4 linked regions of the Notamacropus eugenii genome follow. The protein of the gene in region 3 interacts with the protein of the main gene of each other region in a pairwise test. Links are inferred from orthologs where the notes say so. Each region holds a gene or a part of one and is shown on either strand. Other genes may lie near its edges.

The links.
Region 1: the proteins of NGLY1 (region 3) and GUCD1 interact in binary tests that used the Homo sapiens proteins (3 or more experiments, as listed by UniProt). The two-hybrid records come from large-scale screens. The link is inferred for Notamacropus eugenii from reciprocal best matches to the Homo sapiens genes NGLY1 and GUCD1.
Region 2: the proteins of NGLY1 (region 3) and RAD23B interact in binary tests that used the Homo sapiens proteins (3 or more experiments, as listed by UniProt). The two-hybrid records come from large-scale screens. The link is inferred for Notamacropus eugenii from reciprocal best matches to the Homo sapiens genes NGLY1 and RAD23B.
Region 4: the proteins of NGLY1 (region 3) and UBXN2B interact in binary tests that used the Homo sapiens proteins (3 or more experiments, as listed by UniProt). The two-hybrid records come from large-scale screens. The link is inferred for Notamacropus eugenii from reciprocal best matches to the Homo sapiens genes NGLY1 and UBXN2B.

Annotation. Positions count from the first base shown.
Region 1 is NC_092875.1:1,749,686-1,757,268, forward strand, and holds the start of GUCD1 (protein GUCD1), read right to left. Parts: upstream 3,010-7,583; 5' UTR 2,831-3,009; coding exon 2,794-2,830; exon of another isoform or gene 2,770-2,793; intron 2,340-2,769; coding exon 2,255-2,339; intron 1,663-2,254; coding exon 1,494-1,662; intron 1,348-1,493; coding exon 1,256-1,347; intron 1-1,255. Other genes in the region: SNRPD3 (small nuclear ribonucleoprotein Sm D3), read left to right, coding at 3,959-4,084, 6,595-6,787, 6,891-6,952.
Region 2 is NC_092872.1:21,550,765-21,558,102, forward strand, and holds the start of RAD23B (UV excision repair protein RAD23 homolog B), read right to left. Parts: upstream 3,019-7,338; 5' UTR 2,660-3,018; coding exon 2,567-2,659; intron 2,102-2,566; exon of another isoform or gene 1,795-2,101; intron 1-1,794. UniProt on the Homo sapiens protein: Multiubiquitin chain receptor involved in modulation of proteasomal degradation. Binds to polyubiquitin chains.
Region 3 is NC_092874.1:28,791,442-28,798,903, forward strand, and holds the start of NGLY1 (peptide-N(4)-(N-acetyl-beta-glucosaminyl)asparagine amidase), read left to right. Parts: upstream 1-4,451; 5' UTR 4,452-4,486; coding exon 4,487-4,623; intron 4,624-5,402; exon of another isoform or gene 5,403-6,469; intron 6,470-7,462. UniProt on the Homo sapiens protein: Specifically deglycosylates the denatured form of N-linked glycoproteins in the cytoplasm and assists their proteasome-mediated degradation. Cleaves the beta-aspartyl-glucosamine (GlcNAc) of the glycan and the amide side chain of Asn, converting Asn to Asp.
Region 4 is NC_092875.1:276,950,837-276,958,268, reverse strand, and holds the start of UBXN2B (UBX domain-containing protein 2B), read right to left. Parts: upstream 3,004-7,432; 5' UTR 2,443-3,003; coding exon 2,284-2,442; intron 1-2,283. UniProt on the Homo sapiens protein: Adapter protein required for Golgi and endoplasmic reticulum biogenesis. Involved in Golgi and endoplasmic reticulum maintenance during interphase and in their reassembly at the end of mitosis.

The sequences.
Region 1 (7,583 bases), on a different chromosome or scaffold from region 3:
CCCCGTGACCTCAGAGGCTCCTGACAGCCAGGAAGGGATTTGAGCTCCAAGGATGGCCTTAACAGGGTCTGGCGGAATGAGGACAAAAGTCATGGTCATGACAATGGCAGTGACAGAGAACAAGGGAGGGAGGGAGGGTCCTGGAAGGGCTAGCTCTGCCACAGAGGTTGCCCGGTGGGCAGACAAGGCTCAGTGACCCAAAGGGCCCAAAAGACAAGCAGCAAGATGAAGGGAAACCTTCCCAGTGAGTTTCTCTGATAAAGTGTCATTTCTAAGATGACATAGGGAGCATTGAGAACCCTTCTCCAATCGATAAATGGTCACTTTTCAATAGAAGAATCTAAGTCATTAAGAGCCATGTGAAGAAAGACTCTGAATCTCTGCTTATTGGAGAAATGCCAACCAGCCAGCGCCAAGGATCTGTCTCAGCCCCATCAGATGGGCAAAGCTGACCAAAGATGAGCCATGTGGGAGGGGTTGGAAGAATCTAGAGGCAGGAAACACTGGTATCACTCCTAGATATCTACCCCAAGGAGACCAAAGCAAGAGGAGAAATATCAATAATAGCTCTTCCTGTGGGAGCAGAGAATTGGAAACTGAGGCAAGGCCCATCAACCAGGAAATGTCTGGTCAATCTGGGCTGTAGCTATGATGGAGCAGTACTGAGCTATGAGAAACGAGGAAGGTAATAGGTCTGGGGAAGACTGGGGCAGAGAAGAGATCCAAGAACAACTACTATGATACCAGTGAGGTTCCTGGGAGCAGCAGTGCCCTGGGGGCATCAGGTACTCGGGGTGGGACTCAGCTGGGGCCTCGGGGTCAGGTCTGGGCAAGCTGGGGTGAGAAGGGCCTTGAGCTGCGGATCCACGGAGGGCTCAGGGCAGAGCTCTCAAGGCTGAGCTGGGAAGATAGGGCGGAATGGCACCAGAGCTGTCCGTGGGAGATGGGGGCTGTCGGCAGTGCCAGCTTTGCCACATGTGTGCTGAGGTGCCCAGGAGGGTGGGCTGAGGCTGTGAGCTGAGCCTGTCCCTTACTACCTGCGTGGCCTCGCTAAGCCTCAGTTTCCCCATGTGTAAAATCAGCATCAAGGCTACTCTTGGATAAACACTTTCCAACCACGGGAGTTAGAGCAGGGAGAGCATGGACACTGTCAAGGAGCGCACGCAGCAGGACCTGAAGCCCAGCCGCCACCCTCTCTCTGGGCCCTGGCAGGGATCAGACTCAGGGGTGCCCGGGGGCAGGGGAGGGGTCTCACCACTTCTCCACCAACACCTTGCAGGACGAGGCCCGGGCGAACAGCTGGTTGACCCGGCTCTCCTCGGCGTCGAAGTGTCTCCTGTAGAAGGACTGAGCGGAGAAGACGGCGTTTAGGCCGCGGTGGCCACTGACCTAGGCACGGCCCGGGCAGGGAGGGTAACAGCGCCAGCCTGGGATCCCCCTCTCCCCCCTGCACAGGCCCCCTTCCCAGCCGGGACAGCGGGGCTCCCCCACACCTGGTTCCGGTAGCCCTTGTCCACGCCCAGCGTCCGCGTGCAGAACCGGTGGCGCGCCCCGAAGTGGCGCATCAGGTAGGCCAGGTCGATGGTCCAGATGCTCCGGGTGAGCTGCAGCTCCTGCAGCGCCTGCTCGAAGGCAGCGTCGTCCTCCAGGAGCTTCAGGTACCTGGGGCGGGGGAGTGCGCGGGTGGGCCACTGGCCAATCATCGAGCTGAGGGAGGGACTGGGGCGGGCCCGGGCAGGGTAGCAGCCAATCCCCGAGCGGGGGAAGGGAGAAGACGCCAGGCAATTACCGAGCTCTGAGGGAAGGCTGGGGAAGGAGCAGAGGGGAGGCATCGGCCAATCACTGAGCTGAGGGCGGGGCACGGTGGACCATCGGCCAATCACCGAGCTCAGGGAGCGGGGGAAGGCGGGGCCTGAGGGGGGAGGAAAGAGATGGAGGCGCGGGTGGGTCACCGGCCAATCACAGTACTGGGGCGGGGCCGAGTGGGGCCGACTAATCCCCGAACTACGGGAGCGGGGAAAGAGACAGAAGACAGGGACCCGCAGGGGGTCAATTACCGAGCTCTGAAAGGACAGGGGAGGGGCCGAAGGGAACACCGACCAATCACCGAGTTGAGGGAGGGACTGGGGCGGGCCCGAGTGGTGCACCTCCCAAACCCCAAGCGCGGAAGGGGCGGGGACAGGGACGTGCCGGGTGGGCCAGCGGCCAATCCCGGAGGTCAGAGGAGGGGTCACCAGCCCGGGCCCCGCCTCACCTGAGCACCATCCTGGAGCAGGCCAGCCCGCAGTCCCAGTGGTACAGCTGCTGCACGATGGGCACCTTCAGTTGCACGAAGTCGCCTGGGACAGAGGACTAGCATCGGAGGAGGGCGGGGTTGGGGCCCTCCCCCCATGGTCCAGCAGTGACCCCGCCCCGCCCCTCCCAATGTGCTGGCTCCGCCCTGGGAGCCTTCGCCCCGGCCGAAGTTCAAATTCCGTCCCCGCCCTGGCCAGTCCTGGGGCTCCTCCGCCCTAGGGGACCCGGGCCTTTGGCCTCCGGATCTCCCGCAGAGTCCCAGGCTGGGCATCCAGGAGATGCTAATTCCGTGCCCCTCAGTCTTGGTCAGGGCGGGCTAGGACCCCGTACATGGACCCCTGGGCCGTGCCTCAGTATCCCCCGCTGGGAGACCGATCTAGGACCCCGTAAGCGGACTCCCTGGGCCGTGCCTCAGCCTCCCCAGCTGTCAGAACGGGCTGACTCCATAACCCTTCCCTTTCCCCCTGCCCGTGCCTCAGACTCCCCGGCTGCCCTCACCGGGCTCGGCCCCGGCTCCCTCGGCCTCTTCCCTCATGCCGCCTGCGGGCGGACGGGCCGGGGCTCGGGCTGTGGAGGCGCCTTGGCCATGGCCCCGGCCCGATCCGCTTCTGCCCGGGATCTCGGCCCCCGCCTCGGTTCCTCAACCCCTCTCCGGCCCCACCGCCGCCACGGCCGCTCCCGGGAGGACGCGAAATCTCTCACGGCGCATGCGCTAGCGCACGCACAGCGCGCCACCGACGCGGCACGCAAGGCGCAGAGGCCGAACCCAGGCCACGCCCCCATCCTCCATTTCCCGCCCCTTTCTCGAGCACGCGCCATGGGCCCCGCCCTCAGGCCCCGCCCCTGTAAGCCTCTAGAGTCTCTTCTCCCGCTCCCACCGGGCTGTCTAGGGGCGGAGCGATCCCCGGAAGTGCCCACCCCGCTTCCGGGCCCGGTGCATGCTGGGACCGCGAGACCCGCCATTCAGTTGCCGCTGTTTGTCGCACGTTCGCGCCGCCGGAACCGGAGCCGGGGCGGGGGCTGCAGGTGAGGCCTGGGCCGAGGGGTCCGCGCGACCCGGGGCGGGGGGAATGGGAACCGGGGGGGGGGGCGGGAACGGGGGGAGAGTAGCGCGTGGGCGAGGGGCTCTGGCTCGGCGTTCAAGGCCATGCCTCCCGCCCCCGCGCCTTTCTCTGGCAGGGCCTCCCTCAGCCTCCTCCAGGGATGCCCTGGGCCCCGGGAAGGAGGGCGCAGGGGGGGGTCTCCAGGCTGGGGGCGGAGCCCCATCCCCACTCCCTGTTTCCCCCAGCCCTGATTCGGAATTTGTCCCCCCCACCTGGACACCAGCGGCGGGGCGGCAGCCTGCCTCAGTGCCCCCCCCAGGCCTTCCTGCACCCGGAGCCCCTCCCCCCAAGTACACCTCCCAGCTGCGTGCCGAGCTCTAATAACAGCGCCCCCCATCTGCGAGGCGCTTACTCGGTGCAGCGCCGGACATTCAGTAGGTGCCGCCTAAATGCTTGTTCCTCCCCAGGGTAGGAGGAGGACCCCCATTGTCTTCTCCTTCACTCGGACCCGGGCCTGGCGCAGGGTTTCCGGGCTGTCGCTGCCCGGTTGGGTCCTGGGGGGCTGGGCTCCAGTGCCTCACGTGTCCCGCTGGGCCCCGCAGGTTCTCGCTGTCGCCAGAATGTCGATCGGTGTGCCCATCAAGGTCCTGCATGAGGCGGAGGGGCACATCGTCACCTGCGAGACCAACACCGGGGAGGTGTACCGGGGCAAGCTGATCGAGGCGGAGGACAACATGAACTGCCAGGTACGGCGTGGCGCCGAGCGCGGCGGCTGGGCACGGAGGGGCGGGGCAGCGCAGATATGGGGGGCAGGCGGGCACTGAGGCTGGCCGCTGGGCATGGAGGGGCCAGGCAGCGCAGACATGCGGGGCAGGCGGGCACCGAGGCTGGCCGCTGGGCATGGAGGGGCCAGGCAGCGCAGACATACGGGGCAGGCGGGCACCGAGGCTGGCCGCTGGGCACGGAGGAGCGGGGCAGCGCAGACATGGGGGTCAGGCGGGCACCGAGGCTGGCCGCTGGGCACGGAGGGGCCGGGCAGCGCAGACATGGAGGTCAGGCGGGCACCGAGCCTGGCTGCTGGGCACGGAGGGGCCGGATGGTGCAGACATGGGGGGCAGGCGGGCACCGAGGCTGGCCGCTGGGCACGGAGGGGCCGGATGGTGCAGACATGGGGGGCAGGCGGGCACCGAGGCTGGCCGCTGGGCACGGAGGGGCCGGATGGTGCAGACATGGGGGGCAGGCGGGCACCGAGGCTGGCCGCTGGGCACGGAGGGGCCAGGCAGCGCAGACATGGAGGTCAGGCAGGCACCGAGGCTGGCCGCTGGGCACAGAGGGGTCGGGCAGCGCAGACATGGGGGGCAGGTGGAGGCAGCCCGCTGGGCACGGAGGGGAGGGCCCCTACCCACCCCAGGTCACGTGTGGTCAGCAGCCCGGCTTAGGGTGCAGGGGCCGGGCAGCACAGACATGGGGGGCAGGTGGGCACCGAGGCTGGCTGCTGGACATGGAGGGGAGAGACCCTACCCACCCCAGGTCACGTGTGGTCAGCAGCCCGGCCTAGGCTGCAGGAACCAGAGGGGCTGGGCAGCACAGACATAGGAGTCAGGCCAGGTGCCAGGCTGGCAGCCTTGGCGGTTTCCCCGCTGGTAGTAATGACAGTAACAACTAATGACATTCATTTTGTGGCAGGTGTTAATTGTCTCCTTTGAGGTCCAGACAGGCCTGGGGCAGGCTCTGTTAGGATCCCAGTCTATGGTTGAGGAGCCTGGCCATTGCCCAGGGTCACCCACCCGGCGTCTGAGGCCTCCCAGTGGGAGGATGCAGGGAAGGCTTCCCAGAGAAGGAGGTCATAGAGGCTGGAGAGAAGCCTCATGGGAAGGCTGCCCTGAGGTTGCAGGGACGGGGCTGGATGGCCCGTGCTGGCAGGTGTGGAGGCTGGACAGCCGAGCTCAGAGCCAGCTGTCTTGGGGATAGAAGTGGAAGGGAGAGCTGGTGGGCAGGCAGGCACTCAGTAAGCATTTCTGTGCCGCACTCCAGGCAAAATCAGTGCTGGGGAGAAAAGGGCAGACCCTGCCCCTCCCCTGGGGAGCTCCCAGTCTGAGGGATGAGACAACAGGTAAGCAGCTCTGGATGATGGGGGAACCAGAACCAACCTAGGCTTCTTGGACAAGGTGGGATTCAACTCCCAGAGATGGGAGAAGAGAGGGTGTTGTAGGCATGAGGCAGCCATTGAATTCAAAGGCACGGAGGTGGGAAATGGAATGTTGTGACCTGGAGCAGAGAAAGTGTAAGGTACCAAGAAAGGCAGGAGACGTCTAATTATAAAGGCTTTGAAGGCCAGGCAGCATTTTGTGCTTGATCCTGAAGGTTATAGAGGAGGAGGGTGGGGGTGATATGCTCAGACCTGCGCTGGCTGAATGATGTCCTGGAGAGGAGACTGAGGCAGGCCATCCATCCAGGTGTGGAGCAGGGTGCCACCAAGGTGAAATGGTTGGGCTTTAGCACCATGTTGGATCTGAAGGGGTGCGAGGGAATAGGGAGCCCAGGGCCTCCTGGGAGGTGTGCCAGGGGCATGGCATGTCTGGCATGGCAGAGACTCAGAGGTGGAAGGGGCATCGCCTCCAGCTCCGCCCCTGTGACTTCCATTCTCAGTGTGAACACTTCTCCAGCTCTGACCTCTCTGTCCCCATCGCCAGTTAGCCGTGCTTCATTCCAGTTGGATGTCATGCCTCATAGGCATCCCCCGAGTCCTCCTCCCCGCTTCTTCCCCTATAGCCATGGAGGACAGCATCATCCCGCCACCCTCACCTCCATCCCCGCTCTGGCTCCAGTCTGCTGCCAAGGCCTGTTTTTCCTTTAGCTGTGTCTCTGCTATTCTTGCTACCTGTTCTGTGCTAGCGGCCTGCTGGTGGGTGCCCCTGCCTGTGCTTTGTCTTCAGAAAGCACAGATCTGACTTGATCACTCCTCTCCTCAGCATCCCCCCCACCAGAGGGCTCCTTGTTGCCTCTGGGATTAAAAAGACTTTGTTTGGATTTGCCTCCCTTTATAATCTGGCCCCTCTCTGGGATCCAGCCACTCTGGATCACATCTCCCACCTCCCATCTCCGTGCCTTTGCCCTCACTGTGCCTCTTGCCTGTCTTGCTTAGTCTGTGGTCAGCCTCTCTCCCGCAGCCATTGCTCTGTAGGGGGTGGAGGTCCAGTCCCTACCCTCAGAGGCAGAGGCAGGGATGCTGACCGACTACTGGTTTCCCTCACAGATGTCCAACATCACAGTCACATACAGAGATGGACGGGTCGCCCAACTGGAGCAGGTTTACATCCGAGGGAGCAAAATCCGCTTCCTGATCTTGCCAGACATGCTGAAGAATGCCCCGATGTTGAAAAGCATGAAGAACAAAAACCAAGGTTCCGGGGCTGGCCGAGGGAAAGCGGCCATTCTGAAGGCCCAGGGTGAGTAGGCAGCCTGCAGCCTGGGCCTGAGGTGGGAGGGGAGCAGAGGCCCAGCCACTCCCCTGCCGGCCCCACTTACTCTGCTGTCTTCTTCCCCATCTAGTGGCTGCCAGAGGAAGAGGACGCGGAATGGGCCGGGGCAACATATTCCAGAAACGAAGATAATCTCCCCCGGAAGAGAACTCTGCACTTGTTTGGTTTGAGAGCTTGGGGCTCAGTGTTTGGGCGTGTCCACTCCCTCTTTTTAGGTGAGGGAGGGGCAGGAGGCTCGCCAGCCAAATAAAAAGTGTCTTGGAGTACTTGAGCCCCTGCGGTGCTTCTGGGGAGACCCGGGCCAAGGGAGGTACGGGGGGTGCCTCTCCACCATGGCCCCCTCAGCCAACCCTTGGAGGCGGACAGATGGAGTGCTGTGCTTGCATAAAGGGAGTGCGCAGGCCAGCTCCCGGGCTGTGGGGACCCTGCTGGGGGGCTGCGGGGGCTGGAGAGGTGATAGACCCAAACTTCAGGAAAGTCCCATTGGCAACTTTGTGGATGGATGAATGGGAGATGAGGGGGAGGGGGTGTGGCAGAGGGGGTCACCCCCCCTCCCCCAGCACTTCCTTGGCTGTTAGACCAGCCCCAGCTCCCCGCTCTGTCTGGTGCCTAGTCCAGCTCCCAGAAGGTATCTAGGCATCTAACCAATTCTGCCTGAGGCCACTGAGCCAGCCTCCGAGCAGCCCTACCCTGGTCCCAGTGGGCTCACAGACAAACCAGAGAAGGCTGTGGAGTTCTTGCAGACCTGTGACTTGATGCTTTG
Region 2 (7,338 bases), on a different chromosome or scaffold from region 3:
CTTTATAGTAGTTTCTAACTCAAACAGAAACTGGCCCTTACGAGATCTGCAGCCCAACTGGCCATATACCGACTTAAAAAAACCCCACACATTGACATAATTAATGTTATATTGTATTTTACTTTTGTTAAATATTTCCCAATGTATTTTAATATGGTTCAGATCCACTCCAAGTTTTGAAGGCCTGAAGTCTGCATACTGAATGGGGTTTGAAGTAATTGTAAAGGAAATATAGGGAATTTGGGGGTAAATAAATATACTATTAAAATTAACCAATCTATTTCTTTGTTATACAGATATGCATGGTGAACTCTAGAACTGATTTCCTTTCATAAAGAAGAGAAACTCAAAACAAACTAAAACAGAACTCAAAAATATAATAAAACATAAATAATGTTCATTTGTGGTTTTCTAAGTCAATATGCAGTTGCAGAGATCCCTTTCCGAATTTGACAGCATTGCTTTCAAGCACCTACACTCTCCATGAAACATGACCACCCTCTCCTATTTCAAAAAGCACTTGGCACTTCACTTATATTATCAAGTGACTTTAACTTTTCTCATACACCCTCTACTAAAGTAAAAGTTCTGAGTCCAGAGATCACATCCAAGTTTTCTCACCGCCAGCTCCACAGACAGAATGGACTTAATATTTGTTCAATTGATTTTGTTCATACCAACAACACACACAGAAATTGTTTTTCTACCTGTTGGAAAGTAAAGAAACAATTCAAGGAGATTTTAAGTGATTCTCAACTCCTTAACAGGCAGTCAGTAATTATTCCAAGAGGGAACCAGGGAAAGGAGTAAGTATTTATCAAGTATCTAGCACTCTGGTAAGCACTTTACAAAAACCAACTCCTCTGAACTTCACCACAACACTCCCAGCTAGGTGCTCTCCGACCTCCCATTTTACAGCTGAACCAAGTGAAGCAGGCAGACATTAAGCGACCTGCCTAGGCTCACACAACTAGTAAGTTTCTGAAGTCTGATTTAAACTCAGCTCCAGGCCCAGTTCACTGTATCCTAGCTACTACGTAAGACAAGTTTTTAAGGTAAAAATGTTATTTTTAAACATGAATTTGCTACTCAAAAATCCTATTAAATGTCACAATTCCAGGTTAGGAATTCCTGTACTATACTTTTATATGAGGCAGTCAACGGAGCAGTGGACAGGGTGCCAGCCTGGAGTCACAAAGTTTAGTCTTCCTGAGTTCAAATCTGGCCTCAGATGCTTACTATCAGGGTCACCCACCTAACCCTATTTGCCTCATTTTACTCATCTGAAAAATGAGGCAAGAAAAACCCAAACAGGGTCACAGAAGAGTCAGACACAACTAAACTAGGTTTCTCATGCAATGATCTAAGGACTTGGACGGGATTTTAATAAATATATAGAGCAAGACTCCATGTCCTTCCTCCTGGACCAAGAAGGGTGGCTGTCCAGTAAAAAGTCCATATTAAATGGCCACCTTTCTTCATTCAGGAAAAAATAACTTCTGCCATTAACATCAACATGAGTCACTGATTAAGCTCGTGGTCTGCCAGATGTTAAGGGGGACAGATATAAATAAGAGGCAAACTAGGGGATGAAGGAATTTCCATCAAGGAGCAGAAACAAACACAAACTGCCACGAGATCAAACAGGGAGAAGGCCCTTCCACCTGGACGTCAGGCGGGAGGCTTCCCATCTGGCACAGACCATGGCAGAGCCTAACTGGCAAACCTGCGCTCTCAGGACTGGCCCATACTTGGAATACCCTGGCAGTGACCTCAGCCCTCTTAGCTGTCACAAGCGCCCAAACTGCCACAGAAGCTCACGGCGGTGGGCACTAAAGCGGGCAACGCTTACGGTAGCTTGTTCTAAACTTTAACACGGGAGGATGAGACTTAATGCAGCTCTCCAGGGCACCAAGGGTCTGGTCTGGTCTCTCCCAACCCTGCCATTTTATTCCATGAGAGACCCACGAGGCTCTGCCCCTCGCCCGCTGGGCAGCTGGCTCAGCAGGGGTCCTGGTGCCACCAGGCACATGGCGCCGGACTCGGGGGCGTTCCTGGCCTAGGCACACCTGCGGAGATCCTCTCCCCACTGCGGATCCCGGTGAGACAGGTTCCCCAGCCTCCGTGACCGCCCTCCCACGGGCCAGGTCCTCCCGCGGCTTCCGCCCCAATCCCACCCAGACTCCCACAGCCTCGGGCTCCACCCCCAAGCTCGGCACTTCCCGAGGCTCCCCTCCCCCTCCCCGCCCTCCCCGCCCCCCGCGCAGATTCGGCCCCCCCACCCCCCCCAGGCTCCGGCCGCACTGCCCCCCGCCCGCGGCCCCTCCGAGTCCCCGGGTCCGCGCAGCCGCGCTGGCGCCCCCCGTCCGCCCCTCCTAAAGCTCTCGTGGGGCTCTCCCGCGCGTCCAGCGCCGCCCGCAGGGCCGGGCCGGGGCCGGGGCGCCCAACCGCCCCCTCCTCGAGTCCCCCCGGCCCCCCCGGGCCCCAGGGCGGGTGGGGGAGGGGGCCCGCCTCGCGGCCCGCGCTCCCGCCCCTCCCCCCGCCCGCGCGGCCCTCCCCTCCGTACCGTCTCCTCAGGGCTGATGTCGATCTTGAAGGTCTGTTGCTGGAGGGTCTTGAGAGTGATCTGCATGGTGTCGCCGCCGCCCCCGGACGCCATGGCTGCTGTGGGCTCGGTCGGCCTCTCGGGCCCGCTGGGAGGGAGGTCGAGGTGGCCGGTGGGGTTGGTCACATTCACCCTGCGGGGCGGCCTCTCCCCCGGGCCTGGGCCGCCGCCGCTCCCGCTGTCGCTTTCCCCCGGCGTGATCGGCCGCGATCGCCTTCTCCCCGAGGCGCGGGGCCGGTGGGGAGTCCGTCCTCAGCACTGCGGGCGGGTCTGGGAGGCAGTGAGTGAATCCGCTAGTTCATCAGGGCCTGGTCGCCACCATCATGACTCGCTTCGACATCCCCCCTCCCCCTCCCGAAGAAGTTGGGGGAGGGGTCAAGAGGAGGGTGTCGGGAAGCGCGCAGGCGCAGGGGGAGGCGGGCGGGTTGTGCGCACGCGCGGCACGTAGCCCCTGTTCACGCAGGTTCCGAGGCTGGGGGATGGGGGTGGGGTGGAGGAGCGGCTGCTGGAATTCGGGCTGCCGGGCTGGCACCTCGTGCTGGGGCAGCCCGCGTCCGGAGTGAGCGGCTTGCGCTTTTCGCTGCCCCGCCGCCTTTCTGTACGAAATGGTGGAGTCCGGGTGGGAGGGGGGATCCTGGTGCCCGAAGTCCGGATAGTAAAGGAGTTTCAGATTCCTCCTGGTGGCTCGCATCGCCACTTTGGCCTCCCCCGGGCGCCTGCACCATTTATCTCCCCAGTGTGAGTGGCAGGCCAGGCGGTCCTGAACTGGGGCGTGGGAGACAAGAAATAGGGCCACGGTTTGGGTTGGGAGCTAAAGTTCACTCTAGACTGCCACAGCCTCGGCTCTCCCTGCAGTCCTCCATTTTACTGAAACTCAACACGAGCCTTTCGAAATTAAATCCATCAGCAATCATTAAGCGCCGGCTGAGTGCCGGGTACTGCTTAAGCGCCACAAATACAAAGAAAAGCTCAGGTCCCGGCGGAGAGAAGGTGCGGACAACTTCTACAAAAAGGGGAACCAACTGCGTACAAAAAAAAGGTAGATGCTTAGAGCTACGCAGGATTTTAAGCGTTGACCGCGTGTTCCCCTGGAGCCTGGCGCTGACAATGTTACACAGGTGGTGTCAGTTACAACTTGTAGCATTTTACGAATGAGGAAATTGAAGGCGGCTGAGGGCGTTCAGAGGCTTGACCGAGATCGCGTGGCTATTAATGGCAAAGCCAGGTGGGGCCGCGGTTTGGTTGCTACTTTGTTACTTTCGGACTAATCAGGAATTCCCCCTTACCCTTCCAGCTTTTGTTAATTCACCTCCAAAATGAGGGGTCAATTTAGAGAATTAGTCAATCCACAAGCATTTATTAAGAACCTACTACGTGCCAGCAACTGTCCTGGGTGCTGGAGATAAAAATACAAAGAACTAAACAGGCTTTATTCGGACAAGCGTTAAGCAATATGCGATGTGCCTGGCATGGTGTTAGGCACTTGGGGATATAGGTTTAAAAAAGGAACAAAATAATCTCTACTCTAAGAGGAACTTACATCCTAATGGGGGAGTCAAATACGTGTGAGAATATATATATGGCATAAATGTACAATACTTGTAAAGTAGCTAAACATGATACAGCATTACCTAATTAAATATATACACAGCAAAAGTACAGAATATAAATACAGTTTATTTAGAGAGGAAGGGCACCAGCAAAGGAAAGGCTCGGTTTTGAAGGTGGTGCTTGATTTTAATCTCTGCCTTGGGGCAGAGGTGAGGAGGGGGTATATTTTAGGAATGGGATACAGCCGGTACAGAGGTGTGGAGAGGGGAAATGGAGTGCTTTGTGTATAGAGTGGAAGTAGTATGTAATGATGCTAGAAAGATAGGTTGGGGCCGGTACTTTAAAAGCCAAACAGAGGAGTTTATATTTGATCCTACAGGTTATAGAGAACCACTGAAGTTTGAGTAAGATCAGATCTGTGCTTAAGAAAAATCACTTTGGTAGCTCTGTGGAAGACAGATTTGGATTGGTAGAGACCTGAGTGACAGAGACCTATTAGGATGCTATTGCAATAGGCAGGCAAGAGAATAGTCAGGCCTGATCTAGGACGGTGACTGTCTTGAGTGGAGAAAAGGAGTTGTGTTAGATGTGGAATTATAAGATGTAGCAATTAAATGAATATATGGGATGAAGGAGAGTGGATAACCCTGAGGTTAGGAACCTAGAAGACTGGAAGAATGAGTACCTTTAATAGAAGTATGGGAGTTTTGGAAGAGGGATAAAAAGATTTTTTAAGAGAAGATAATGAGTTGTATTTTAGACATATCAAGTTTGAGATGTCCCTTGGACATGCAGTTTGTAATGTGCAATAGTTAGTGGGTAATTTGGAATGGAAGCTCAGGGGAGAGATTGGGACTGGACATATAGATCTGTGCCTCATTTGCATAAAAATCATCAAACCCATAGGGATTGATACAGGTCAACAAGAGAGAGTAGAGAAAGAGAAGAAACATGAGCCCAGGATACAGCCAGTAAGGGGATGTAATATGAATGATGAGCTGGCAAAGGAGACTGAAGGAGTGGTCAGATAGGTAGGAGAACTGAAAGAGAATAATTCCTTGAAACCCAAAAAGGATAGAGTATTCAGGAGAAAAGAGTAATCAATTTCAAATGCAGTGCATATATATGTGTGTGTACATATATGTACACATGTATATGGATAAAGACTGAGAAGAAATCATCAGACTTGGTAATTAAGAGATTGTTGACACTTTATGAGAGATGAGGGAGGAGTTCAGAAGTCAGACTATAAAGGCTTAAGGAGTGAGTCAGATGAGAGGAAGGGAGGAAATAAGTGCTGACTTTTTCTAGGAGTGTGACTGCACATGGAAGGAGAGATTTAGGACAATAATTTAAGATAATCTGAGAATCTAGTGAAGGATTTTTTTTAAAGGATAGTGAAGATGGGTATATTTGAAGACAGTGGTCAAGGAACCAATGGACAGGGAGAGGAAAGAGAGGTTGAAGATCAGAGGAGTGGGTTGGTTGAGGGAGCCAAAGCGTTAGCCTTGAGAGGAAGACTGTTTCATGATCAGATTCAAGGAAAAAAGATGAAAGTAAAGGCTTGTGAGATGAAGAGAGAAGGGAATTTGTGAGGATTGGTCTTCATTTTCTCAGTAAAGAGAGATAAAGTTCTCAGCCAAGAAGGTGGGGGTAGTAGAAAATATGGGAAGCTAAAGGAAAAAGAGAAAGTTTGGAATAGCTTTTGTGGGTTATAAAATCAGGGATTAAAGGGGGAATGAAAGGTACAGCAAGGTCCTTTCTAGCTGGGAGGTGGGGGGAGGGCAACGTACTCTTGTGGGGTATATTGTTAAGAACAAGAATTAATGGCAGTTTTGAGCAGTGTTCATGGAATGTTTGGCTTTAATCTTTTCTTGTGGTTTGATCAGGGCAAGAGGCAGAAATTGAAGTGCTCTGCTGTTTAAAAATACTTGGTAACAAGCCAGTTATTTCTAAGGACAAAAGTCCACAGAACAGTCAGTTGTTTGCAAGGGACAAACTCATGTAAAATGAGTGGATTGCACTAGATGATCTTTGCAGTCCCAATAAAAATTGGGAGCTATTTTTTTCTGACTGCTTGCTTTGCGCGTGCGCGCACACACACACGACAGATGAATGAGTATACAAAGGTTACATATACATAAACTGGCTAATACTGGAATATCTAGCTCAGTGATTAGAAGAGCTTTAACATTTGTAAAACCTTAAGGTGCATTATTTCAGTGGAGCCTTACAGTAGCCCTGTGAGATTGATACTAACTGTTGTATTGTCCCCACGAGCAAGGAAGGTTTGGGGAAGTTAAGCGATTTTGCCTGTGGTGAGTAAGTATCCTAGTTAGAATTCAAAGCCAGGTCCTCCTGCCTCTCCGTCCCCTCAGCTATGCTGTTAAGTTTACACCCAACAGCTTTTCACGGTTTGGAGATAGCAAGGATTTAACTGGTAGCTTATTCATATAATGTTTGTACTTTTCCCTTAATCCATAACCCTCCCCCTAAAATTGTGAAGTTTATAATTCTATCAGACATAAATGTGATTTTGAATTCTTATAGAATTCTGGCATTTTTAGATAGGTGCCAAGTCTCTGTAAACAATATTTTTCTAATAAAATACATGGTAGATTCTTTTACTCAAATGAATAGATGGATTCATTTAAAAAAAATATTGACTGATTGCCTCCTATGCTCTATGTTAACAGTGACTCTTGGTGAAGGCAGAGTTGGCAATATAACCCAATAAAAAGAGGACTGAATTTGTAGTCAGAAGACCTGGATTTGATCCCAGGTCTACTGCTCATTGTGTGTGACTTAACCTTTCTGGGCCTCACTTTCCTCACTTGTAAAATTCAAGAGTTGATTCTAAATTTGATGGTAAAAGTGCTTTTGCCAGGAGTTCTTCAGCACAGCACCCTGAGGGAGCAGGCAGCATGTGACAGCTGAGTCAAACCATTTCTACTACCATGACACCATCTCTTCTCAGACCCAAGGAGAGGCAGCTCAGAATCTGGAACCCCAAAATCCCAGGAATAACAGCATTTCCTACACTTCTAGCCTTGTTCCTGCAGCCACCATGGAACAAAACATTCCATGCATCACCAGCGACCCCACCACTAACATGCAAATAAGCTGAGACACCCAAGAATCGCAGCTCTCCTTCCTCCTGCCCCACGCTCCCCTACCAAGAG
Region 3 (7,462 bases):
CACTCATTATCAGGGGAAGATACTGTGGATACAAAAATAAAGGTTTCTGTGCTAAAGAGTTGATGATATAAGAGGAAAGATGCGTTTACAGATAAGCATAATACATATGCAAGAAAGCCAAAAGTTCATCATTATGGGTACTCCCTCCATAGTGTTGACCTGAAAACTTGGTTAAAGAAAAGGCAACAGGCTAATTGCATACATTTTATGATTTAATTAATTAATCAATCAATTCCCTATTAAAGGTAACGGTAACATAATGCATTATGGAGCCAGAAATGTTCTGGCTACCCAGTGCAGAAATCTTCTGGCTTATATACATTATGCTGTGAGAAAGGAACTTTCCTAGTTGAACAAATCATAAATTTAGTAAGACAAGACAATTAACAAAGTAATGTTGGTCAGGCCTTGCAATTCCAGCTGGGTAAACATATGTCTCAGTGACGAGAAAGGAAATCCCACCACTAGTGAGTGGCAGGCTTCCTGCCCTAAACAGATAACTGACATAGGAAAAGGCTAAACAAAGTTCAATAGAAATTACGACCTAAGATGTCTATTTTTCTTTACCATTAATATGCCATAACATAGTATATGTCTATAGATAATAAGATACAAAGGAAAGCCTCATTATTCAAGATATAGTGTCTTAGGTTAAAGGTCTTCTTAAGGAGTGTAGAGTCGGCCTTGGCTGGCTTTTGCTGACATAGGAAGAGGCACTCTCTGAGTTTGCTTCAGAGAGAACAAAGAGATTATTCTAAAATTTTATATTAAACATTATCAATAGAAAGAGATCAAAACCCTTTCTGACCTTGAGAGATGGCTAATAGGAGTTACTGTGGACTAATAATTCATTGCTTGATGGCCAACCTTCTGGTGATGAACATCTCCAAATAAAGCTAGGCTGGGAGTCTGTTGTCTACTCATATTTAAAATCTTTCTGGCTCAGTAGTGTTGGCAGAGTCTTTGCAAGTTTACATTCTTTTCCATTTCATAGAGAGGTAAGAGTAAAAATTTAGTAGGTTCCAGTCTCTGACTAGAGAGATGCTTAGAATTATACACATGTAACAATGTCAATAGGGAAGTAAAGAGGTGGGAGAGTGGGGCAGAGCAACACAAAAACAGAATATTTATCATGTTAGGCCTATACTCAAGCTGAATGATATTCCTGACAGATTATGAGGAGATGTTGAAAGAAGGAAAAAGAATATGAAGTAGAAAGAAAGGTAGCGATCACTAAGTTTTGTGTGGTTTTGTGTTTTGTTTGGGGTTTGGTTGGTGGGGAAGGATTCAGAAATGTGAGCATGGAAGAACTCCCATTAGGGAAACTCCACCTATGAAACTCAGCAAATGTAACCCATAGTTTTGGAATTGCCTGGGGCACTAAGAGGTTAATTGATTTAGCCTTATTCACACCACTAGCATATGGCAGAGGCAAGATTTGAACCCAGCTTCCAGATTCCAACACCAGCTTAACCATTATCTGTGGTTCTTGGACCATATAATCACCCAAAAAAAGAGGTACAGGGATAGGATATAAAAAAGGTTCAAGGACAACACCTGAAGAGCACACACTGAGAAGTTTCCTGAATGTAATCAGAAATAATAAATCAATTTGTTAATCAATTTGTTAAGCCCAAGAAAATATTACAATGACATAAGAAGTAGGCAACTATATGTAAGACTAGGGATTTGCTGTGGAAATCATTTAATCAACAAGTGGCTACTGTGTGCCAGGCATTCTGCAAAGAGCTGAGGAAAAGAAGATCAAAAGGAAGTAGTCCCTGCCCTCCAGAAGCTTACAATCTTTCAGGGGAAATCACATGGACACAAAATAAATATAAAATATGTACATAGTCATTGGGGAAAGCACAGGGGTCAGAAAAGTCTTCATGGAGGAAGCCCTCTCTAGCTCAGCTTTGAAAGTAATTATGGATTCTAAGAAGTAGGAGTGAGGAAGGAATATAGCCCAGTAGGGGAGGAAGCAGCCTGCACAAAGGTGTGGAGACTGAAAATGGAATGTGATGTTTAGGAAACAGCAAATAAACCTGTTGGGTAGGACTGTAGAGTGTGTGAAAAGGAGAGCTGTGGGCCTGGAAGGATACTGTGAAATCACAGATTTAGAGCTAGAAAGGATTTTGGAGGCTATCTGCTTTTAGAGGTCATCAACATCATTTTACAGATGAAGTACAGAAAAGTTAAGTGACATGCTCCAATGTCTGAAGGAGGATTCAAACTCAGGTCTTCACGACTCCAAGTCTAGTGCCCTATCCCCAATTCACCTGGATGTCAAGTGGTGTAGATGGAGACTCTGAAGGACTTTGAATTATAGAGGTGCTGGTATTTTTTCTTATCAGCAATAGGGAGCCACTGGAGCTTTTCCCTTTTTTTTCTGACATGGTGCAACAGCTTTAGGAATGTCACTTTGTCAGTTCTGAGAAGGAAGGGCTGGAGAGGAGAGAGACTAGATGAGGAAGCTATTGCAATGATCAAGATGAAAGGTGAAAAGGGCTGAAACTAGGGCAACAGTTGAGTAAGTGCAGAGAAGATGCCAGAAGTTGGAGATGTTGTAAGACTTGGCCGCTAGCTGCCTATCAGAAATGGAACATGACTGAGGGTGTGAACCTGGGGGACTGGAAAGATGGTGGTGTTCTCGATACAAATAGGATGATTAGGAAGAGGGGTCAGCTCCAGGACAATAGAGGAAAATGGGTCATGTACAGGACACCCAGTACAGCTTGTTCAGGGATCAATTATAGATAGAGGACTGGAGCTCAGGGAAGAGATGATGGCCATTGTAGACGCAGAAGTTACCTGCATTGAGATGACAGGTGAACCCGTGCAAGCGATGAAAAGTTAGAGGGCATCGAGGACCCAGGACAGAGTTTGAGAGAGCAGGGCCTGAGTGGTGATCCAACAAAGGTGGTCGTGCTAATTCCTGGACTGGGAACATGGTAGTGATAAGGAGACTAAGGATTTGATTGTAGAGACGGAGTAAGGCAAAGTGGTAAATTCTAGAATTGATGTTTGCAAGGGAGGAAAAGGAAAGTGAGGGCAGAGCGGGGAGAAATGATGGGTACAATGAAGGTCAAAAATAGGTTTAGGAGGAGCAAACCATCCTAGGATAGGTTGGAGAAAGGACTTTCTGAATTCCTTACCATGGAATTGAATCAAATCAGGAAAAGTATAAGGGGTGTGTGTATGTGTACTCTCTCTCTATATTTAGACACACCATATGTACGTTCTGCATGGTTACGTAGACTGTTCCTAGATGTGGATCTGGAGAGAACCTCAGAAACTGTCCAGTTCAAACCCTTCCTTCGACAGAGGAGACTGAAGATCAGAAGGTTTCATATTTAATCAGTGACAGGGTCATTCACTCTTATGCCAGAACCAAGGATTTTTCACCAGTCATCAGAGGGTCATGTCTGTCATTTTCTGACCCGGGTTTTAAGACCGGGACTAGAGGCTTAGCAATGACTGCCTTACCAGGTCAGGGCTTCAAGGCGGAAGGGAGAAGAAACAGACAGTAAACTACAGGTCTAGCCATTAACCTCATCAGAGGCTTAAACCCAGCCGTGAAATGAGATGGAGCCCAAAGGGAATGCTCTCAGGGAGACGACACACACAGCAGGGCCTGGGGTGGGGGGCGCCGGCGGCCTGGGGGTTCAGGAAGGCCTTCTGTGGGAGCTGGTGCTGGAGCTGAGCCGACTCGAACGGGGGATGCCCCGGGGCAGAGAGGAGGGAGGGCATCGCAGACCGGGCCAGCCTGCGTGAAGGCAGAAAGGTCCAGCAAGGTCACCCGGGGCCGGAGGGGCCCAGCGCGGCGGAGGGGCCCAGCGCGGCGGAGGGGCCCAGCGCGGCCGGAGGGGCCCAGCGCGGCCGGAGGGGCCCAGCGCGGCCGAGGGGCCCAGCGCGGCCGGAGGGGCCCAGTGCGGCCGAACCGGGGCTGGGGGGGCGGAGCGGGGCATTAATGGGGTACCAGGAAGGCTGGAGTCTCCGTTGGGAAACATGTTAAACGCCACAGTTCGAGTTTGCTTCGGAGCCACCGGGGCTTCTGAGCCCCGCTCCTCTCGGGGATCCCAGCCCAGCTTTGGCGAGCCGGGGAACGATGCCCATGCTAAATGCTGGGCTGGCATCGCTGCCCGGGGACGGGCGAGGGGGCACTGAGGGGGTCCGGGCTCCCGAGGGGGAGGACGGGCTGTTAGGTGCGGGGCGCTGCAGAGGTCCGAGCTCTCCAGTCCGGGTCAGGCCCGCCTGCGGCCCCCCGGGAGCACCGTCCGAGGACGCGGCCCCAGGGGTCCTCGGGGTCCCCCCAGCCCCGGCCCGGGGCGGGTCAAGGACGCGCCCTCCCCCGCGGGGTGCCCGGCGCGCGTGGCCGCGGCCTGGCGGGCGGGGCGGGCGCCTGCTCAGTGCAGGGGGCGGGGGCCGGGGAGGGGGGAGGGGGAGGAGGCCGGGCCGAGCCGAGCCGAGCCGCAGCCGGAGCGGGATGGCCGCCGCCGCCGCCGCGCTCGGCCCCGCCGCGCCCGCCCTCTCCAGGGCCGTGTCCGAGCTGTGCCAGAACCCCCGAGAAACCTTCCTGGAGGCCTCCCGCCTGCTGCTCACCTACGCCGACAACATCCTGCGGTAGGACCCCCGCCCCGCCCCCGCCGCGGGGTCACGGCCGCACGTGGTCGCCGGGCCGGGCTGCGGGGGGCCAGCCGGGCGGGGGGGCGGGGTGACAGCGGCGCGCGCCCCCGGGGGCCCGGGAGGGGGAGGGGCAGGGGTCCGCGGTGCGGCGGAGCCGGGCCGGGACCGGGGAGGGGGAGAGGGGGAGGGGTCCTTGGTGCGGCGGCGCGCGCCCCCGGGGGCCCGGGAGGGGGGAGGGGGTCCTCGGCCCGGGGCCGGGGAGGGGGGGAGGGAGAGGGGGGGGGTCCTCGGCCCGGGGCCGGGGAGGGGGAGGGGGGAGGGGAAGGGGAGGGGTCCTCGGCCCGGGGCCGGGGAGAGGGGGAGGGGGGGGAGGGAGAGGGGGAGGGGGGGAGGGAGAGGGGGAGGGGTCCTCGGCCCGGGGCCGGGGAGGGGGGGGGGGGGAGGGAGAGGGGGGGGTCCTCGGCCCGGGGCTGGGGAGGGGGAGGGGGGAGGGGGAAGGGGAGGGGTCCTCGGCCCGGGGCCGGGGAGGGGGGGGGGGGGTCCTCGGCCCGGGGCCGGGGAGAGGGGGAGGGGGGGAGGGAGAGGGGGAGGGGTCCTCGGCCCGGGGCCGGGGAGGCGCCGCCTCTGCCTTAATGATGGGTGCCCGGGACACCCGGGAGACGCGGGGAGGCCGTGCGCGGAGGTCGGGCTGGGCGCACGTCCCCTGGCCCCCTCTTGTGCGTCTGCCCCCGGGCAGTGCCCCCCCCCCCACCCCGCCTTGGGCCCTCGGTTTGATAAACGCGCCCGATCCCTGCCGAGAGTGGGACAAGATTCAGAGTCACCGCTGCGGCTGCCCACCTCGGGGCCTTTGCCCCGGACGGTGTACGGTTACTTGGGCACCGCTGGCCGTGTAAGCCGGTGTGTGCGGGCCTGCCGGGTGCCAGAGGACATGCCACCCTCCCGTGCCCGCTGCGCCCCACCTGCCCAGGAGGCCCGGGGCCGCGGACAGTCACCCCCAGATCCCCTTTACCCCCGCCCCGAAGAACCGCGGACTGCTTGGTGCCCCTCCAGCCGTCTGGGCATGGAGCTGTTTGTAAACAACTTGGCAGCGTTATCCGGGACCCGGTTCTTGTCTCAGCCTTAAAATGAAACCAAAACGCTTAGAGCAGATACCCCTGATCAGTGAGATGTCTGCCTGGTACTACCCCTGGCTTTGGGGGGCGTTCTGAGGTGTGTAGGTATTGATCAGCACGTTCACTGAGGTTCTTCTGAGGCCTGTGCACAGGCATGAGTCCCAAGCTCCCCCCACCCCCCGCTGTGTGTGTCTGTCTGTGTGTCTAATCGAGAAAGGGGACAGGATTCGGGGTGCCTAGGGCAGGTGCAGGAAAAGCCTGGGAGTTGACATTTAACCTCAATTCTTTCACTTCCCCGACTAGCCCCAGCCTGCAGGTGCTGAGGGGCCCTTGGCCTCGGCCCAGGGCCCTCCTCAGGGGCTCTGACCCCTTTCTTCCAGGAGTGACCCAAGCAGAGTTACCTCTTGCATTTACAGAAAAGCCTCCAGATTGTTTTTATTTTTTTGTACCTTGCCTGGATGCCTCTGGCAGTATGACTGCACCGAGGACTCTCCCTCCTTACAGAGCTCTACAGACATTGAACTTCAAACTTCCAATACAAAGTGTGGACAGATCTTCACCTTTCTCCATTAGGATACTAACTCACAGATTTTTGTTTTGTGAACTGAAAATCCTAGAGTCAGGGAGAATTAACCACAAGATGCCACGGTGTCTGCAACATCGACAAACTGGTTCTGACCCATTTGTTTTACTTCATGATGAGTGACTAAAGCTTTACTAAAGACAAAATGGTAAATGACTTGCCAGAAATGAGTATCTTAGTAGATCGGGAAGTATTTCTGGACCACCCAAAGGAGAGCTTTGCACTCCGGTGCTTAATAAAGTTAAAAAATCACCATTTAAAAAAAGTTATAAGCCCTGCCGGACATCCTCTCTGTCAGCTGCCTTGCCCTTTTGGACTTTGGAAAGAGGAGCCTTCCATTACGTTTTCAGCTCTCACTCCATTTTCACTCAGATGCCCTCTGGCAACTGAACCAGCCAGCCACTGATTGTAGCTTTGTCAGAAGTTCAGTGATCTCTTAATTGCTTAATCCAGTGTCTCGTCTCAGTCTTCATCTACCTGCAGATTTTGATGCTGCAGATGCTTCCTCCTGGTTCTCTAGATGGGCCTTCTTTGTGTCCCTTGAGGGAAGAGAATCTTTCTGCCAGTGTTGTTCTCTGTCTCCACACCAAAGCTTGTGCATCCCCAAAGGCTGTCTCCTGAGCCTCTGATTCCCTCCCTTAGTGATCCAGCATATCTTGAAGTGTTTCCCCCCATTAGAATGTGAAATTGTTGAGGAGAGTGACTAGCTAGTATGCTTTCACTTGGAGCCTAGCACTTAGCCCATTGCCTGGCACATAAGAATAAGTACTCTAGCTATTTCAGCTGCTCTCACTGGTTCCTTGATCACTTCAAGTGACTCCCAAAGCTGTACAGAGATCACAGAGTATAGAATTGGAGATTTGGAAGCCACCACTGCCAAAGCTGTCTCGTCCAGCCCATACCTGAAGGGCATCCTCATTATTTCATGGACAGGTGCTTGTTCAGCCTCTGCCTAGAGAGCTTCCATGGAAACCTACTGCCCCTCGAGGCAGCCCTTTCCATTTTGGGGCCAGCTAACCTTGAAGATTTTCCTAATACCCAGCCTAAATTGGTGGTTTTGCAGTTTGCATTGGCATGGAGTTTGATACCTCTTCCATATAACAGCCTTCAGATACTTGAAGGCAGCTTTCATGTCCCCGGA
Region 4 (7,432 bases), on a different chromosome or scaffold from region 3:
AAGGGTCTCCCTACTCTAATCAATCTTCCATACAATGGAAGGAAGAAAAGAATGCCTCTGGGAAATTATACAGTATCCTTAATGAAAAACTGTTTCTTGACACAAAAATAAATTTTTAAAAAAGGATATTCTCTAATAGAATAGTTACTAAACTCTAGTTTGATACTATGCTATATAGCTATAAATCATAGAATATCATAAATTTCAAAGAATCAAAATTGTGAGTGGCCCAAAGGGCAATGGAAAGAACAGCTGGATGTACTGTCGTATTTGAATACTATTAAAATATTACTGAGCTGTAAAGAATGAATATGAGGAATTCAGAGAAACCGGGGAAAACTTCAAAGAACAGATACAGAACAAAGAAATGATTATAATGCAAGGAGAATATAATGTAAAAGGAACAATCATAATGTAAATGAAGACAATGTAATTCAGACTAGATACTGCAACAAACATTATTCACTGAGAACTGATGTTGGAAGATCCTCTTTCTTGGAGTTGGTAGACTATGTGTACAGAATACTACATTCTCTTTATGATGTGAGGCCTGGTTGCTAAATCAGTTATGCTTAATTTTTTAATAAAGTATTATGGAGGAGAAAAGGTTATTTGAGGAGTGCTTGTGGTGTAAAAAACATGAAATGCATCAATAAAATATTTTTAATTAAGCAAAGGAATGTAAAATTACACAAGGAATGGTGTAAAAGATATCATTCAGGGATTGTAAGAAATGTATTATTTGCAAAGTAAGTGTGACAATCATAGTGAAGGCAGGCAATAACTGTGAATCTTCAATGAGTTGGATAGATGCTCTAAGACAGGTTTATGACAGGATGTAATTAGAATTGCATGGGACGAGAAGGGCTGGATGAGTTGAAAACATGCATATTATATATATTAATGAGATCAATTAAACCTTTTTTTTACTTAAAAACTGTAGCTATTTCTAAAATGGCTTAGTGACCTTGACTGAATGTTCTTTCCTATGATACAGATTTTCAAGGATGGAAAACATACCCATGTGTTTACTAGTATTTGCCTGGCACAGCAGGTAAAGCATTGAAATTTACTAGAGTGTGAGCTTTCCTGGACACGGCATGTATATGTAACAATCTATTATATCAAATTGTTTCTCTCTCTCGGATGTTTTCCAGCACAACCATGTTTTTTTCAACTGTTTATATTTTCACTTCGTTTCTAAATTTATCAGCATAGTGAAAAGATCTATAGAGGCTCAAAGACTGTCACTGAGCTAATGAATTTCAGTAGTGTGAGCTTTGAACTCAGATCTTCCTGACCAAAAGTTACCACCTCTGTCCACTACTTTTCTGCCTACTGCCTTTCCTGGCTTCCTTTGGGTCTCATCTTCTTCTACAGGAAGCCTTTTCCAACCCTTCTGAATTCTAATGCCTTCCTTCTTTTAATTATTTTCTATTTTTCCTACATATAGCTTGTTCGTCCGTATTTGTTCGTCTCTTCCACTACGTTGTGAGTTCTTTGAGCGCAGGAACCCTCTTTAGACATTTTGTATCCCCAGCACTGCCTGCCACACTGCGGACACTTAATAAATGTTTGCTGATTGATCAGGCTACCCACTCAACAGCCTCTCGAGGAAAAGGGGTTAAGTCACAACCACCACTATTAAGATGGAAGAAACAAAAGGCTATCTTTTCCTAGATAAAACATTTATTAAAATCTGTGCTCTTTAAAACAGTCCAGGGCTGCAGGGAAACGAGAATTTCTTTTAAGTAGCCATGCTTCTGGGTGAACGTCTTTTACACGATGGCTTTCTTCTGGTAAGATGTGTACAACACCAGAGAGCCCGGACGTTGCAAAAGAGGAGTGCTAACAGGGTTTCGACAGAGAGAAAACAGGCTGGGAGTGGAGGAGGAGGAAGGGGAAGGGCCATAAGGTCCGGGAGCGAATCTCCACCAAGTTTTAACTTCCACTGACCCTCGTGCATCCAGACACGCGGCTCCTTCCCGCGGTGACCACGGGAAAGGCTCGGGGAGCCAGCGGAGACCCCGGCCCGGCCTCCCTCGCTCGTTCCTCCGTTGCCCACTCCTCCACCAGGGCCCTCTTTTCTGCGGGAGCCGGGGAGGGGCTCCCGGGGCTGGGGACCTCAGAGCTCGAGCCCCTCCCGCACGAGGCGCCCAGGGCACCAGCTGGTGGGGGAGGTGCGGAGAATGGGCGGGAGCGCTCCCCCCTCCTCTCGGGCCCCGACCCCCTGCTGGGCCCGGCTCCGCCCAGGCTGCCCCCGCCGTTCCTTTCCTTCCCTACCTGCAAATCGCGGGCGGTGGGAGGCCTGGGCCCAGCCCGCGACCCCGAAGGCCTCTTCTCCTGGCGATGCCCACCCGGGGTCGGCGGGGCCGAGGCCGGGGTGGCCGCGGTTTCCTCCTCCCGGTCCTCGCCCGGGCGAGCTGCCCCGCCCTCCGCCATCTTCCGCTGGGACCAGTGCAGCCGCGGGTCCGGCTCGCTCTCCTCGAGGCTCCGGGGACTTCCGGGGAGCGTGTTACCCGGGCAACCGCCGCCACCCGGCGAGGACGCACCTGCTCCCGCCGCCGCGCCTCCCCTTCCACCGCGCTGGAGGAGCTGGCCCGGGGTCGGGCTCCGGCTCCCTACTTTTTCCCGGGGTGGGTGGGAGGGAAGCGTAGTACACGCTTGCTCCTTCCTAGGATGGCTGCGGGGACACCCCGCAAACCCTGACGTCACCCCACCTGCCTCCGGGCCCCGCCCCCTCGGGGCTCCTGCCCAGCTCGGCTAAGAGGGGCCGAGGAGCCGGGACGTCCAGACTTCGGTGTTTGATACTGTAACAACTGCTTTCACCTTCTGGAGCAGGGTCCGTAACACTTACCAGTAGGGTAAAGCCTAGGGACTCCGCAGAGCAATATTTGTGTTACAGAAGTAGCCAATTACGTTAAAATGCAATCGGCTATAGATACATGATGTATGTATGTGGGGTGTATATACATATATATGTGTATACGTACATATCTATTACAGAAAGAGCCCCTCAACTGGTTTCAAGGCACACGCTCCCATACTGGAAGCAGGGACCCATTCCAGAGATAGTTTCTAGCTTCTGGTAATAATAAAGCAATCATTTTTGTCCAGCATAAACATTATTTTTGAGGAGATAGGTCTAGATACATGGATGTGCGAAACACTGTACTAGGCTCTGGAGGTACCAGTAAAAAGAATCAAAGAAACCCAACTCTCAATGGGTTTACATTTTTTGAATTTTAATTAAACTGATTTTAAAATTTTAATCAACAAGTATGTTTTCTTTTTTAAATGTTTTCTATCTGCAAGGCACTGTACTAGTTGAATTGTGTGTGTGTTCCTCCTTTGTTACCAAAGAAGACCATGCCATCAGAGAAATAAAGACGTGACTTGCACTTGACTTTGTTTTGAGTGACCAGATATTCATCAGGATGACTGGAGATGACCCAGGATGAGGCAATTGGAGTTAAGTGACTCGCCCAAGGTCACACAGGTGAGACTTGAACTCAGGTCCTTCTGACTCATGCACTGGTACTCTATCCACTGCACCACCCAGCTGCTCCAACAAGATACAGAGATTAAGGCATACTACCTGCCATTAAAAAGCTTATAGTTTAGAAGGGTAGAGGGGAAAAAAATAAATACACAAATAACAGTAAGATGTAGCGTGGTGGTACAGAAATAGTCTGAGATTTGAGGAGAGATAAATTGCTTGCATAACCATGAAGATTATATATATCCACAAGGGTAGTGTCTAAATATAGTTTGCCCGGAGGCATAAATCTCTTTGGAATCTGGTTCATCCTTCTCCAAAAGAGACTGTAATTCATGCCTTAAGGGGAACAGTCGAAGAGTCATAAGCCTGGCCAATCTGTTTTCATCAAAGGCCTTATCAGACTAGACTTAATTTAGGGATCTAGGAAGGCTTCAGGAAGAAGGTAACACCTGACCTACAACTTAAAGGAAGGGATTTCAACTGAAACGGATGGGGTTGAAGTAGGATGGGGAGGAGTCTCTTCCAGGCATGAAGAGTTATGATGAGTTAGAGTTAGAAGAACTTAAAAAGGACAAAGGGAGTGGAAAGCAGTCCAATTTGCCTGAAATAAAAAAGTATATGAAGGGGTGTTGACATTATGAACCCAAGAGACTGGAAAACTGGAAATGCTTTTGACAGAAATAGGGAAGTCTCTTAAAGGAAAAAATTTAAGGGGAAAGGCAATGAATTCAATTTTGTACCATTTAGTCAGTCAACAAGCATTTATTAAGTGACTACTATGTGCCAGGCACTTTACCTAAGCATCAGGGCATACAAAGAAAAGCAGTACTCCTTCCCCCCCAAACTCCCAATCCCGAAAAAGTTCCTGCTCTCAAGGAGCTCACAAGAATGGACATACAGTTTGAAACATCCAATAAGCAATCATTTATTGAGACTGAAGCTTAGGGGTAGAGCTTGGGACTGAACATATATCTGGAAGTCAGTTACCTAGAGATGGTAGTTAAATCCATAGGAGTTGATAAGATTACTGAGAGAGTAGGCATAGCTCATTTGTGCCTCCATAAGAACCCTGTAAGATATTTGTTATCATTATTAGAGAAGCAAAATGGTATCATAAAAAAAATTCTGGATTTGGAGTCAAGAGAGACAGCTTAAAATCTACTTCTGATACTGGTGTGACTGCATAAATCCCTTAACTTTTCTCATTTTTCTCATCTGTAAAATGGAAGTAATAATCCCTTTAGTTTTTTCTTCACAAGGTTTTTGTGAGGCTTAAGTGAAATAATGTATTTAGATGTATTACACATAGACTGCTTTGAAAGCTTTTTTGTTTTGCTTTTTATTTTTTCCTTTGAAAATTTCAAGATGTCTGTTACCCTTATAAGAGAGGCACCATGGTATAGTACATAAAATTAGCCTTGGAGTCAGAAAGAAGTGTTTCAAAGTCTATCTCTAATATGTTTTAGCTGTATGATTCTGGTTAAATTACTTAACTCTGTGCATGGCCTAATAAATTCTCTGAGACTCTAAATTAGAAAGTTGTTGATTTTCATCAGTGAAAGGAATTTCTGTACCATTATCTGTATCATTATCATTCCCACTTTGCTTATGAGGAAACTGAGGGTAAGGAGGTTGTAACTCACACCATAATAGCTCTCTAGATAGAATTGGCAGGTTTTGATGAATTAATGGATGTATAGAGTGAGAAAGAAGGAAAACTCAAAGGTGACTCTAAGGCTTTAAGCATGATTACCTGTGAGACTATTTGGGCTATCAGTAGAAATGGGGAACTTTGTGAGGTTTGGGGTGAGGGTGTTGAATGGGGTGTGATAATGAGTTTTGGCTTGGTGTAATGTTAATGAGATTTATGTTAATGAAAGATCTTCCCTGCCCATCAATGGGCCTCAGATTAGGGGAGTCTTGTTTTTCCAGAAGGACCACACCTTTTGTTAATTGCTAATGAGGCACTGAGTCAGGAGTATATGCCCTCAGAAAAGTGTATATATACTCTGAGGTGAGGTTTTGCTTTGGGAGCTTCTTTGGAAGGAGGTTTGGGTGCCAGATGAGGGTCTGGGTAGCTGTCCTCCCCCCTGAGAATAGACCCTAAAAGAGACATAAAAGGAATGTGATAATAAAGAACATTTTCAATGTATACTGGTACTGTTTGTCTGTTGTATCAGAAAGCAAAGCTTACTCACCTGTGATTAGGACTGACTATGTGACTTCTGTATGTACTTAATGTGACTCATTCGAATTGGGATTTACCTGAAATAATAATCAATTTAACCACCAACACAAATAAACTTCAGTAATGCAAAGAGGGATAGATTAATAAAATAATAATAATACAGGGGCAGTTTCTTTTTTCTTCCTTCCTTTGTTCATTCTTTCATTCCTTCTTCCTTCCCTTTATCTTTCCTTTATCTCTGTCTGCAAAATACTTTACATGTGTCTGAATTGTTTGTCACAAGAACCCTTTAAGATTAGTTATTACTATTTGACATATGAGGAAAACAAGTCTGAGAGATATAAAGTGACTTGCCCAGGATCACACAGCTAGTCAGCATCAGAGGCAGGATTTGATTTCAGGTTTGTCTGGATTACAAATCCATCTCTCTGTCCATTATACTATTTAGACTAAGGCCACACAGTTTCTGTCTATAAAATGGACATAATAATATATTTAGCCATAGCATTATTGTAAATATCAAATAAGATAATCTATCTTAAGTATTATATAAATGTGATACTTTGGTGGATCAATGAATGTAAGTGAGGGGACTCAATCTAGTGATCTTGTTTATGTTTTCCTTTCTATGCTCCATATAAAATCTCCCCAACTAGCTGGAGACCTTGTCCTTATTATTTAACATCTCAGGGGTGACATTCATTTAACTTTGGCATTCAGAGGGCTCTTAGAGGTGCAGGAGAGGCAATCATCATTTAGCAGCAAAAGCTAGGTAGCTCAATATATAGAATTTGGACTTGGAATCAGTGTTCTACTTAAGTCAAAGTCCTGCCTTTAGACACTTACTAAGCTGTATGACCTTGGGTAAATGCCCTAACTTCTCAGCTTCAGTTGTCTCATCTGTAAAATAAAGGCATCCAATTTAAATGAGATAAGGTTTGTAATGGCTTTTCAAACCTCAAAATGCTATTTAAATACTAGCTGTTATTACAAGCTCGCTAAATGAGTGAGTAGCATTCTGGAAAAGCAAAACTTATTCTAATGAGGTTTGTGGAAGGATTTTTTTTGGGGGGCAGCCCCAGAAGTTTCCTAAGTAAGTAGAGAGAAAGGGGGGAATGTTGGGGTTCTTTTGTTCTGCATCATGTATCTGATCTTTTGGGGAGTAGCTAGGTGCCTATGGTCATAGGTCACCTTAGGAAGGCTGTGATCCTCAAAGACGACTCTTCAACTTTCCTTTTTAATGTAGGAAAAGCCCCTTATCTGATGTATAACAGTAATGTTTCAGCACTTTTCCTCACTTTCTACGGGTTTGGGGATGGTGACTGATGAGGAAACAAAAGTATTACCCTTTACCTCCATTCCCAGATCTATGATTTGGATTTATCAGTAAGTATTTATTAAGAGCCTACTGTGTGCCCATCACTATACTAGATCCTGGGGATATGAGTATGAAAGTGAAATAGTCTTAGGATTACTTAATAATGTCACCTTTCTAAAAAACAAACATAATCTGTTTTGCAAGGATATTTTTTAAAAAATCAAGCTCTTTTAAGTAATTAAATAACAAACTAAAGATTTTTACTCTCCTTTAGGGTGTTTACAGCATTATCCATGTTATCACAGTATACCAGATGCTGTGATACAATATCCAATAACAAAACCATGTGTGAGGTACTCCTCTTTTGAATTATATCAGAGCCAATATAACTGGTCAGAGAGGAAAAGATTTTTTGTGTGGCTTT